Linked DNA regions of Ovis aries. The protein of the gene in region 1 interacts with the protein of each later gene in a pairwise test. Links are inferred from orthologs where the notes say so. Each region holds a gene or a part of one and is shown in the gene's direction. Other genes may lie near its edges. The genes, in order: UBASH3A, FGFR1OP2 and GFAP.

Region 1 (4,135 bases):
TCAATCCACTGCTGCTGAGGGGGCGAGCTGGTACGACTGCGGAGTGAAATTGCTTGGCAGTGTCTGGTGAAGGATGAACAAGTCCTGTGATCACACAATCCCACCCTGAGACAGGTGCCTAACAGAAATTCGTGCGTCGGGTACTCAAAGAAATATACCAAGAATGTCTGAAGCAGCAAAATTGAAAGGCACCCAAATATACATCAGCTGAGAACCAGCGGAATCAAGCATGGTGCATTTATCTGCTGGAACACAATACAGTGAAATATACAGCAATACATTGAAATGTGGTTGCTCTCAACATGGATAAACTTCACGCTCATGATTTTGGGCAAAAGGAACAGGCATAGAAGAGAACACACCATACGGTTCTGTTTATGTCAGGTTCAAAGAGGAGCAAAATTAATATACAAGTGAGAGCAACAGCTACGGGAAAGGAGGAGGAAACTAGGAGGCTGGGCGAGAGGCGCTGGGGCCGGGGGGCTTCCAAGGTTCTGCTGATGTTTCGAACAGAGGATCTCAACTCTGGCACTGCTGGCATCTTGAGCTGGACCCTTCTTTGCTGCAGCGTTCCTGGCCTCCCCGCACTAGGCACAGCTAGCAAACACTCCCTCCTCTGGTGGTGACAATCAAAATATCTCCCAACAATGCCAGTGGTCCCTGGGAATAGGGACCTGGGAAGAGGTCCCAGGTCAAGGACCTCTGTTTTGCTGCTGGTCCTGGAGGATTAGGGGGTGTCAGTTCACTATGAGCTCTCCACGTAGGATTCATCAGCTTTTCTGCATGCGTGTTAAACTTTATATTTTTACAGGAAAGAAAAGAAATCAATGAACAACTAAAAGAGCCAAAAATTTCAGAACTATGAGGGACAACAGATACAGCGTAGTTTAATGTCTTCTGCAGATAGGGAAACTAAGATCCAGGTGGCTCAGGGTTCTGCCACCAGTGGGACCCAGTAAAGAACCCCACCCCGGATTCCCCTCCCCCAGCCTCCCTTCCCACCCATACCAGGCAGACTTCTCCCAGCCCAAGTCAGAACCAAGCCGATCCCATGACCTCCTGACCCCAAACCCCACTGTAGAAGGGGCTTGGTGGACCCTGCACCCACACTCTGCAAAGAGAACTCTGAAAAGCAGTATCTCATGCAAACAGGATATTAGCTTTGTCAGAAAGATCAGAAAGGGCTTGAGGTTTTCTTCTTAGCCTCAGCCTCTCAGCTTTATCTGCTCGCTTCAGTCTGCAGCAGGAAGCGATGGCAGCGGGCGAGACCCAGCTCTATGCCAAGGTCTTCAACAAACTCAAGGGCCGCAGCAACCCCTCCCTCCTGGACCCCCTCCTGGGCATGGGCTTCCCGGCGCACACCGCGTGAGTACCGCCCGGCCTGGCCCGGCTTCCCGGACTCCGAGCTGACCCTGCTGTGGTCACAGAACTGCGGGCAGCTCAGAGCCCTGACTTCCTGTCAAGGGGTGCACCCTGCAGGCCCGGGATTCATCTCAAAATGAGGCCTTTTCTGCTTTTATAAACGACGCGTGCTTTGCCTTTTAAAGACAGACTTTGCTCTCTGGTGATGGTGGGATCCTGAGGTTTGTGAAATTGGAACCAGGGTTTGGAGATGCCTGGCTGACCCTCTCTATGGGCAGTTTGGATAATCACAGATGGCTTTTGAGACTTTTGAAAGCCCCTAAGTCGGTCAGGGGCGGTCTCTGATTCTGGGACCTGTTGAAATACACAGGAATGTTACTTCTAAATGCAGAGAAACCCCTTGTGGGTAAGGATTCTTGATTGTGTGATAATGATAATGGTTAAGGAAGCCCCCAAGCAGGGAGGATGTGATCTTAGGAGAAGGGCCACACAGAGACGACTCCACCCTGAGTATCCCCACCCGAGAGGGAAGGTGAAGGTGTTAGTCAGCTAGGTGATGTCAACTCTTTTGCAACACCATGGACTATAGCCTGCCAGGCTCCTCTGTCCATGGAATTCTCCAGGTAAGAGTACTGGAGTGGGTTGCCATGCCCTCCTCCAGGGAAGGATCCCCCCTCCAGAATGATGAGCTTTGAGCCTGGCAGTGGTGGCAGCTTCCACGTTGTTCTTAGATCTGATCCTTTTCGTGCCCATATTCATGTGAGAAATACATCAGAAGTCCCCTTAGGTGACTGTGGATGGGGAGGGGGCAATCTCACCCTAAACAGATAACAAACCCCTGCCCAACTGCGTGGAATGAATGAGGCTGGACCCCTCTTCTCCCCAACCCAAATCAGGACTTTGTTGTCATGTGGCATTCACAGTAAACCGGGAGTCTGTGAGACAGGAACTGGATCAGGCATGTGCGTGGCTGCCTGCCGTAGGCTGGACGCCATCCTGGGCACCGTCCATCAGGTGCAGATGAGGACGCAGAGGCACGAAAGGGAAGGTAGAGGAGGGGCAGGGCTGGAACCGCAGTCCCGGTGCCTATAAAATTCACTCTTCATTATGTGACTGAAGTTGCCGTTAGACACATACTTAAAATTCCTTCCAATTTAAGGACTTTCCTGACGGTCCAGTGGTTAAGGCGCCATACTTTCAATGCAAGGGGTGTGGGTTCAGTTCCTGGTTGGGGAGCTAAGATCTCATATGCCGCAAGGCGTGACCAAATTAAGCCCAATTCCTTCCAGTTTAAACATTAGCTATGTGTTGGTGTTGGAGAGACATGTTTGAAATGTCTCCCTGGGTGGGAGCACCCCAGTAAGTCTCCTGCTAACCTCTCCAGGTGGCCTCAGCCCCACCAGCATCCTCTGAAATAGCCCCACTGGGCAGTGGCCATCTCAGGTTCCTGGTGATATCCAGGCTAAATTTGAGGATGAATTGCCTTCATCAAACTCCATTCTGTCTAGTTGGGCCCGTTCGGTTAAAACTCAATTCACTGTACATACATCCCAGTTTCAAGGATGAGTAAGACACAGTTAAGCCCAGGGAGCTCGCAGATGGTTGGACAGGCAGGCGGACACGAGTCCATTGAGATGAGGGGCAAGGTGGCCATGTGTGGTGGGGAAGCACAGGAGAGCTGCACGTGCACTCTCCTTGAGCACTTTAGGGAGGGCTTCCTGGAGGAAGAACACCTGAGCCTAGCCTGGAAGACCCTGTGCCATTTCCCCCAGGGCATGTGGTCAGGGAGGCACGTGTACAAGCCAGGGCCATGGCCCTGCCTGGCTGCCTTGAAGATCTGAGAGTGCATGGGGGAGGATTAGCGAGGTGGGATTCAGGCAGGGGTGAACCTCAGGGCATGAACCCTTGGTCTCCATGCCAGGGACTGGGGGTGGGGGCCAGGGAAGGGAAACCATGGGTGGGAGTGGAGAGATGCAAGCAGTCTGTGTTTCCAAAACCACTGTGATGTTGCACAGAGGGTGGAGGTCTGGGCACTGCATCACGCTCTGAGGTCTAACCATCCAGCTCCCTGGGGTCCCTCCTGAAGGTCCGATGTATTGTGGAGACACCCCCCAACCCCGACCTTTTCCAAAGAATGAAAGTTAGCGTTCTGAGAGCTCCTTGCGCTCTGCCTCCCACAGGCTCAAGGCATTGGCAGCCACTGGAAGGAAGACGGCAGAGGAGGCATCAAACTGGTGAGTGGGGGGCCTGCAGGTTGTAGGGTCTCTGCATGGGAGCTGGGAGGTCCCCAGGATCCCCTGGTGGGCGGGCACCTCCATGCAGCCCACGGTGCCCAGAGAAAGCAGTAAAAAGCCCCCAGCTAGAACAGAAAACAAAAGAGAAAACTCTGAACAACGTTTTCTTAAGATTTCTTAAAATTCTGATATGATCCCAATGTGGCTATCAATGAAGAGAAACATTCATGTGGTTTGCTGTTGAATAAACAAGAAAGAGACATTTTTGCTGATGTGAAATCGAGGTCGCCACTCTCTCCACTTCTGATGGAGTGAGAACTGGCAGGTGGTGGTGAGAGCCCCCAGGCCTTGGCACGTTGCACCTTAAGGGTGCCAGGTGCAGGGGAGCTCTGGGTTCCAGGCGGCCCTGCCAGCCTCTAGCTCTGCGGCTTTGCCAGCCTCCCACTGCTACGAGCCTTGCTCTCCTGCCCCAGGAATCAAAGAGGACGCCCTGTTCTCTAAAACTCGGGCCCGCCCGCATGCGCAGTGATGCCATCATT
Region 2 (3,648 bases), on another chromosome or scaffold:
ACATCCTAGCTATTGTTTGTAGATGCCATGTTATTGCAAAGCATAAGGAGGTGTCTTCTGATATTAGTCCCAATAGTGTCGTTTACACGTTGGGACCTCGGACTGTCAAGGTCCTCATACCTGAGTTGTTCTGTTAAATCAAGATAAACATCTCAAATCTTTCACAGCTTTCTCTAGACTTTGCTTTTTTATTTTCTTTCAACATCTGTTGCAACCATTTATTTTTACTGTAAGACATTTTTTTCTGTTTTTAAATGTAATTTTACTCTAAAAAAATCTGATGTTCTATAGTTAGTGGAATTGATGGGAGATATGGAGATATAGGGGCTTCCCTGGTGGCTCAGATGGTAAAGAATCTGCAGTGTAGGAGACCCAGGTTCAGTCCCTGGGTCAGAAAGTGGCTAACCACTCCAGTATTCTTGCCTGGAGAATCCCATGGGCAGAGGAGCCTGGAGGGCTGCAGTCTGTGGGGCCACAAAGAGTCAGACACAACTGAGCAACTAACACTCACTCAGAGAGAGATGAAAGTAAAGTGAAAGTGAAGTCGCTCAGTCGTGTCCGACTGTTTGCGACCCTGTGGACTGTAGCCCGTCAGGCTTCTCTGTCCATGGGATTCTCCTGACAAGAATACTGGAGTGGGTTGCCATTTCCTTCTCCAGGGGATCTTCCCAACCCAGGGATCGAACCCGGGTCTCCTACATTGCAGGCAGACGCTTTATCCTCTGAGCCACCAGGGAAGCCCCCCATAGAGATACAGTGAATTCTCCATAGAGATACAGTGACCCCCATATAAATAAGAAAGCTGTACTGTTGCCTAGCTCTGCTGCTGCTGCCAAGTCACTTCAGTCGTGTCCGACTCTGTGTGACCCCATAGACGGCAGCCCACCAGGCTGCCCCATCCCTGGGATTCTCTAGGCAAGAATACTGGAGAAAGCTGTACTGTTGCCTAGCTCTAATTTTAGGTAATTCCAGAAGGGCAAGGCCTTGTTGGAGGACATCTTAGATAGATTTTAATGACTGTCCTTTCGTGTTTTAACCTACAGTAAGAATTGGTTCCTTTAGTGGCCCCTTTTGCTGTTGTATTTTGAAGTGCCCTTATCTAAATCTCCTAAATCTTTGAAGACAAATATTTTGGTTGTTTTATCTAGAGAGACAGAAGTTGTATTAATTTCCAGCTTAATTCTTAAAGATCTCTGGAAATGTCTGGTCATATAGGGAACATTTTATAAATTGGCAGTTTTATTTTATTTTGATTAAATCTTTTTATTCAGCTTTGAACCTGTTTATAAAAACAGGACAATATACTCTCTGCTTCAGCTGTTGGGTACAACCAAGAATACTGTTTGAATTTTTTTCATCTTTATTTAATTTGCAATTTTTAATCTTTGCTAGGTATAATCTTAATGAAAGCCTGCTAAAATGGTGGGATGTGTTGTATTTTCTTTCTTTTAAAATGTTACACAGTTGGGTTATTTAAATCTCTTGCTGCATTTTTCTGTATCTGAGGGGCTAACAATTAACCTAACGAGTCCCATGTAGTAGTATCTTAAAAAGACCTATATTCTGTCTTCCTAAACTTGGTGAAAATCCTTAATTATAGCCCTTAACTTTGTTCTACACATGAGTTTTAATTTAATTGCTATAGATTTGGCTTATGACATAGAAACATTACAAAGTAATTTTATTTTTTGAGAAAATCGTAAAGGGTGGCTCGTATATTAACAGAAAATAAGGCAAAACAGTAGAAAGAGAAAAATTCAAGAGTGATCAGTGTCAGAATGTTAAAGTTTTTGAGAGATTTTAAAATAAAAATTTTGTTTTGAGGTCTCGGCGTATCAGTTGAAGAAGCTAACTGTTGGCTGTGTTATGTTTTGTCTCCTGGCCTTTCAGCCTCTTTTATACATTTGAGTCACTGACTTTAACGTATCAGAAGCTTCCCGTAATGGCCAGTGTTGCTCTAAGTTAGCACTTCCTTTGCCATTTACTAAGGAAAGTGCGAGAGTTAGAATTACTGAGAATTTTCCTATGAGAAGCTGAAGTTCCTCCAGAAGGAGGTTGATCCTTTAGTGTAGCATGACACGTAGAGGCCGCTTTGCCTGGTTAGTAGTGTACGTTTGTGGATGGTGTCTGAGGTCACCTGACCAAGCGGAGGCTAGGAGGGGTCATATGGTCGGAGACCTGACAGTCACTGACTGCAGAATACAAAATAATAAAATGACCTTTTTTCACAAATGGCAAGATAGGGATTGCCCTCACGAAGAGTGCAATTTCTATATAACATTCAGTTCAGTTGCTCAGTCTTGTCCGACTCTTTGCAACCCCGTGGACTGCAGCTGCCAGGCTTCTCTGTCCATCACCAACTCCCGGAGCTTGCTCAAACTCACGTCCATCGAGTCGGTGATGCCATCCAACCATCTCATCCTCTGTTGTCCCCTTCTCCTGCCTTCAATGTTTCCCAGCATCAGGGTCTTTTCCAGTGAGTCACTTCTTCCCATCAGGTGGCCAAAGTATTGGAGTTTTCAACTTCAGCATCAGTCCTTCCAGTGAATATTCAGGATTGACTGATTTGATCACCTTGCAGTCCAAGTCAAGAGTCTTCTCTAACACCACAGTTCAAAAGCATCAGTTCTTCAGTGCGCTGAAGAATCCACCTACAATGTGGGAGCCGCGGGAGACATGGGTTTGATCCCTAGGTTGAGAAGGTCCCCTGCAGAAGGGAATGGCAACCCACTCCACTATTCTTGCCTGAAGAATCCTATGAATAGAGGAGTCTATATAACATAAAATGTATTTAGTGAATGTACACTTTTGTCCCCACTGTATATTCAGGGTGTTTTAAATACGTTCTGATTTTGTTCTCAAACTTATATATATATATATATATATACATATATACATGTATATATGTATATATATATATATGTAAAGTAAGTAAAGTCACTCAGTCGTGTCCGACTCTTTGTGACTCCGGGGACTGCAGCCCACCAGGCTCCTCAGTCCATGGGATTCTCCAGGCAAGAATACTGGAGTGGGTTGCCATTTCTTTCTCCAGGGGATCTTCCCAACCCAGGTCTCCCGCACTGGAGGCAGACGCTTTAAACTCTGAGCCACCAGGGAAGCCCTATGTGTGTATATATATATACATACATACATACATACATACATATATATATATACACACACATACATATATATATAATGTGTATATATAAACACATATATGTATATATGTAGTATATAATTATATATATTTATATATGTTGTGTATAATTTCTTGAATATTATAAAATCACTTTCAAGTTTGTTCCATCTTAACAGGATCAAAACCACATGTGTTCTTAGATGGTTTTCATCCTGAGACAGTGAACGATTCAGTAACAAATATAGCTTAAGCATAATGTGTGTTAAAGTGGAACTAGAATAAGATTGATATGCCAGCTTTCTTTTGAATCTGTTTTTCGTTTTTAACCCTGTGTATTCCTTTAGAAATGAGTTGCACCATTGAGAAGGCACTTGCTGACGCTAAAGCCCTTGTTGAAAGGTTGAGAGACCACGACGATGCAGCAGAATCTTTGATTGAGCAAACCACTGCTCTCAATAAGCGAGTAGAGGCTATGAAGCAGGTTTGATTTTTTTTTCCCCCTGTTG
Region 3 (3,586 bases), on another chromosome or scaffold:
ATTACTTCCAATAAGTACTTATTAGTATCTGTTGCGATTGACTACTAGCCAACACTCTTGTGTTTTAGGCCCTGGGCTTTGCAAGGATTATCTTACCATGAAGTAGGTACTGTCCTTTGATAGATGACAGAACTGAAGTCCAGAGAGGTTAACCAATTTGGCCAAATTCACACAGCTCCTAAGCAATAGAGCTGGATTTCTAACCCTAGCTGTCTCACTTAAGAGCCTGTATTCTTATCTTTTTTTTTAACTGTTTATCTGGGGGGCTTTCTTGGTCATGCCTCTAAGCATGTGGGATGTTAGTTCCTTGACCAGGGATCAAACCCACGCCTCGCCCATTGGAAGGGTGGAGCCTTCACCACTGGACTGCCAGGGAAGTCCCAAGCCCACATTCTTGATGCTTCTGCCATCTGCATCCTGGGTTACTGAGTATCTGCTGCATGCCAGGCTCTGCCCTGCATACAGAGACACGTCTGACCAGGGGGATGTGATGTCACTCAGCTTGATGTCTGTGAAGAACGCAGCAGGGCAGGGTTTACACGCAACGCGGAAGCAGGACAGATTTCATGGGAGGGCAGTGGGGCCAGGCGGGACTGGCAGCCTACGAACATACAGAGAAGAGAGAAAGGGCATTCAGGAAGGGCATGCAGGACACAGCCTGAGTAGAGGCCATAAAGCACAGAAAAGTGGGGGCCCGGAGATCCTGGCCCAGGGCATGGAGCTGAGGAGTGTAAGTGGCAGAAGTCAGGGATGGTTCTGAGCAGGTTAAGGCGTGATGGAACCATGAGGGATTCAGAGCAGGCTGAAGGAGAGAGGGTTATTAGAACCTGGTCTCTGCTCACCAGAGCTCCCTGTGTGTGACCTAGGAGGACAGGATTCAGTCCCGAGGATGGAGCTACTGGAGAGTCTGGGCTCTGTGACACCCTCTGCTCATTCACGCGTTCCCTCATCAGGCACTGAGCTAGATGCTAGAGAAGTAGCAATGTCGTCTGTGTCTGTGTCCATGGGCCACGGGTGACTGTGAATAATCCCACCCAGTGCCAGTGGCGTGGGGTGGGCTGGAAAACAGCCGTACCGTCCGGCCCATCTCCCTGATCCTCCAGACCGCGTACCAACCCCCCGAGCCCACTAAGCTCCCGCGATATGCGGCCCCAGACCGCCTTCCAGCATAAAGCCCTCTCCTCATCTAGTTCGCGGACCTGAACGACGCCGCCGCCCGCAACGCGGAGCTGCTCCGCCAGGCCAAGCATGAGGCCAACGACTACCGACGGCAGCTGCAGGCCTTGACCTGCGACCTGGAGTCCTTGCGCGGCACGGTGAGCAGGGGCGGGGCCGCAGGCGGAGGAGGGGTACGGGTGAGCGAGCCGGGAACCTGGGACCTACAGCCCTAGCAGACGCTGAAGGACTGGCTCGGGGCGGAGCTCTGAAAAGTTTCTTGGGGCGGGGCCTCGGGGAACGGTCCGGCTCCACCCACAGAACGAGTCCCTGGAGCGGCAGATGCGCGAGCAAGAGGAGCGCCACGCGCGGGAGGCGGCGAGTTACCAGGAGGCGCTGGCCCGGCTGGAGGAAGAGGGGCAGAGCCTCAAGGACGAGATGGCGCGCCACCTGCAGGAATACCAGGATCTGCTCAACGTCAAACTGGCCCTGGACATCGAGATCGCCACCTACAGGAAGCTGCTGGAGGGCGAGGAGAACCGGTGAGCCCAGACCGGCCGCCTGCCCTACTGCCCCGCCCCAGAGTCGCCTTGCTCCCTTCACGAATACATGTGTGCTCGGACATGTCCAACTCTTTGCGACTCCCATAGATGGTAGCCCGTCAGGCTCCTATATCCATGGGATTTCCCAGGCAAGAATACTGGAGTGAGTTGCCATTTCCTTCTCCAGCGGGTCTTCCCGACCCAGGGATAGAACCCACGTCTCTTTGTGTCTCCTGCTTTGGCAGGTGTGTTCTTTACCACTGCGCCATCTGGGAAGCCCCATCAGGGACTGTCTTATTCAGCCTCGTGACCAGCCCCCTCCTATCCCAGCGCCCAGCACAGTGCTCACCTAACACACAGTTGGTATTCATAAATGCCTGATGAATGAATGGATGGATTCAATTCAGCCCATGTTGATCAGATCCTAGGGTAAGGACTTGGGTTATCTTCCAAACTAAAAGGCTCACTCCCCACCCTCCCAACAAAGACTGGACTTCTTTTCTGCTGACCAATCTCCTCTGCCTCCTGGGAACTCTCTTCACTGCTCTCCCCTCCCCTCTGTCATCCTCAGAGCACTCACTCTCTTTTGAGTGGAGGTGTTCCCCCAGAGCTCTTACAGCGCGGGGAGTGTGTTGGCTGCTGGAGAAGCTAAGAGATGGAGGTCCGCCTTTCCTGGCAAGGAAGAGGGCCTCGAAGCTATTATGGTGACCTTGGACCAGGATCTGGCCTGGGAGTGTCCTCTGGCAGGCTGGTCACCCCTCTCCTTCTGCTGTCTTTCAGCATCACCATTCCTGTTCAGACCTTCTCCAACCTGCAGATCCGAGGTCAGTAGAACAGGGTTTTGTGGGCAGAGTGTTGGATTCCCGCCCCCTTCCCCAGGCCTGTGGGTTGCTCTTCTGGTCTGAGCCCGAGGACCAGGGCAGAGGGGCCCAGTGCTCTCTGTGGGGACCTTCAATATTCATGGCAGAACTTCCAGCCAGAACACACCATTCCAGAGCATTCCAGGTGGGGCTTGCAGCCACTCCTGTCCTGCTCTGCCCTTTGTCCCTCCTCCCATGCCTACTCCCCATTCCACTGCAGAACTGAGTGAGGGTCTTAACCTCTCACCTGTCTGCAGATCCCTGTCCAGCTGAGTGTTTGATGTTTGTGTGTTTTTTTTTAACTGCTTGTCACTACAGGGGGCAAAAGCACCAAAGAAGGGGAAAGTCACAAGGTCACAAGACATCTCAAAAGCCTCACAATACAAGTTATACCAATTCAGGCTCACCAGGTTGTAGATGGAGCCCCGCCGGCTCTCGGTTAGCTGCCTGCCTTTTAGACATGGTGCTTTTTTCACCTTAATAGGGAGCAAGCTCACCAAGCCCACTTTCCCCATCTTCTTGAGCTCCCTCCTCCCAGGTTTCCCTAAAGGGCCAACCCTGTGTCATTTCCCCAGCAATCTCAGCGCCCAGTCCAGGACCTGGCACAGGGTAAATGTACATTAAAGTAGTAGAGTTGGCCAGTGTTCAAGGTGCTAAGTCCTCGGGTACTCAGCTCAGATGCTCTGGGCCTCTGAGCAAACACCAGCTTCTGCCTCACCTCTTCCCCATCACCAGGAGGGCCCCTAGAGTCTCACGGTGCCTGGCAGCCAGGCTCTTGGCCTGATTCCTCTGTCCCCGAGGCTCGGTTGTTCAGCTCAGGGCTGATTCAGCCCAGAGGATTATTTCCCTCTAGACTGCTGCTCTTGGAGTGAATAAAGTTTTATGTCCCCTGCTCTTAATATTAAACATTAGTGAGTGTGACATGTTACATTTTTCTCTCTGCAGGGGGGAATAAATTGCTTCTTACTTGTATGTGGCCCTCAAATAATTCTCAGCTGAGGGAAAAAATAATTCTTCTGGACTAGAAAT

The links.
Region 2: the proteins of UBASH3A (region 1) and FGFR1OP2 interact in binary tests that used the Homo sapiens proteins (3 or more experiments, as listed by UniProt). The link is inferred for Ovis aries from reciprocal best matches to the Homo sapiens genes UBASH3A and FGFR1OP2.
Region 3: the proteins of UBASH3A (region 1) and GFAP interact in binary tests that used the Homo sapiens proteins (3 or more experiments, as listed by UniProt). The link is inferred for Ovis aries from reciprocal best matches to the Homo sapiens genes UBASH3A and GFAP.

The regions. Positions count from the first base shown.
Region 1 is NC_056054.1:263,379,437-263,383,571, forward strand, and holds the start of UBASH3A (ubiquitin-associated and SH3 domain-containing protein A), read left to right. Parts: upstream 1-1,234; 5' UTR 1,235-1,252; coding exon 1,253-1,365; intron 1,366-3,542; coding exon 3,543-3,596; intron 3,597-4,135. UniProt on the Homo sapiens protein: Interferes with CBL-mediated down-regulation and degradation of receptor-type tyrosine kinases. Promotes accumulation of activated target receptors, such as T-cell receptors, EGFR and PDGFRB, on the cell surface.
Region 2 is NC_056056.1:188,458,376-188,462,023, reverse strand, and holds part of FGFR1OP2 (FGFR1 oncogene partner 2), read left to right. Parts: intron 1-3,486; 5' UTR 3,487-3,488; coding exon 3,489-3,623; intron 3,624-3,648. UniProt on the Homo sapiens protein: May be involved in wound healing pathway.
Region 3 is NC_056064.1:44,354,801-44,358,386, reverse strand, and holds part of GFAP (glial fibrillary acidic protein), read left to right. Parts: intron 1-1,190; coding exon 1,191-1,316; intron 1,317-1,476; coding exon 1,477-1,697; intron 1,698-2,477; coding exon 2,478-2,521; intron 2,522-2,875; coding exon 2,876-2,995; intron 2,996-3,586.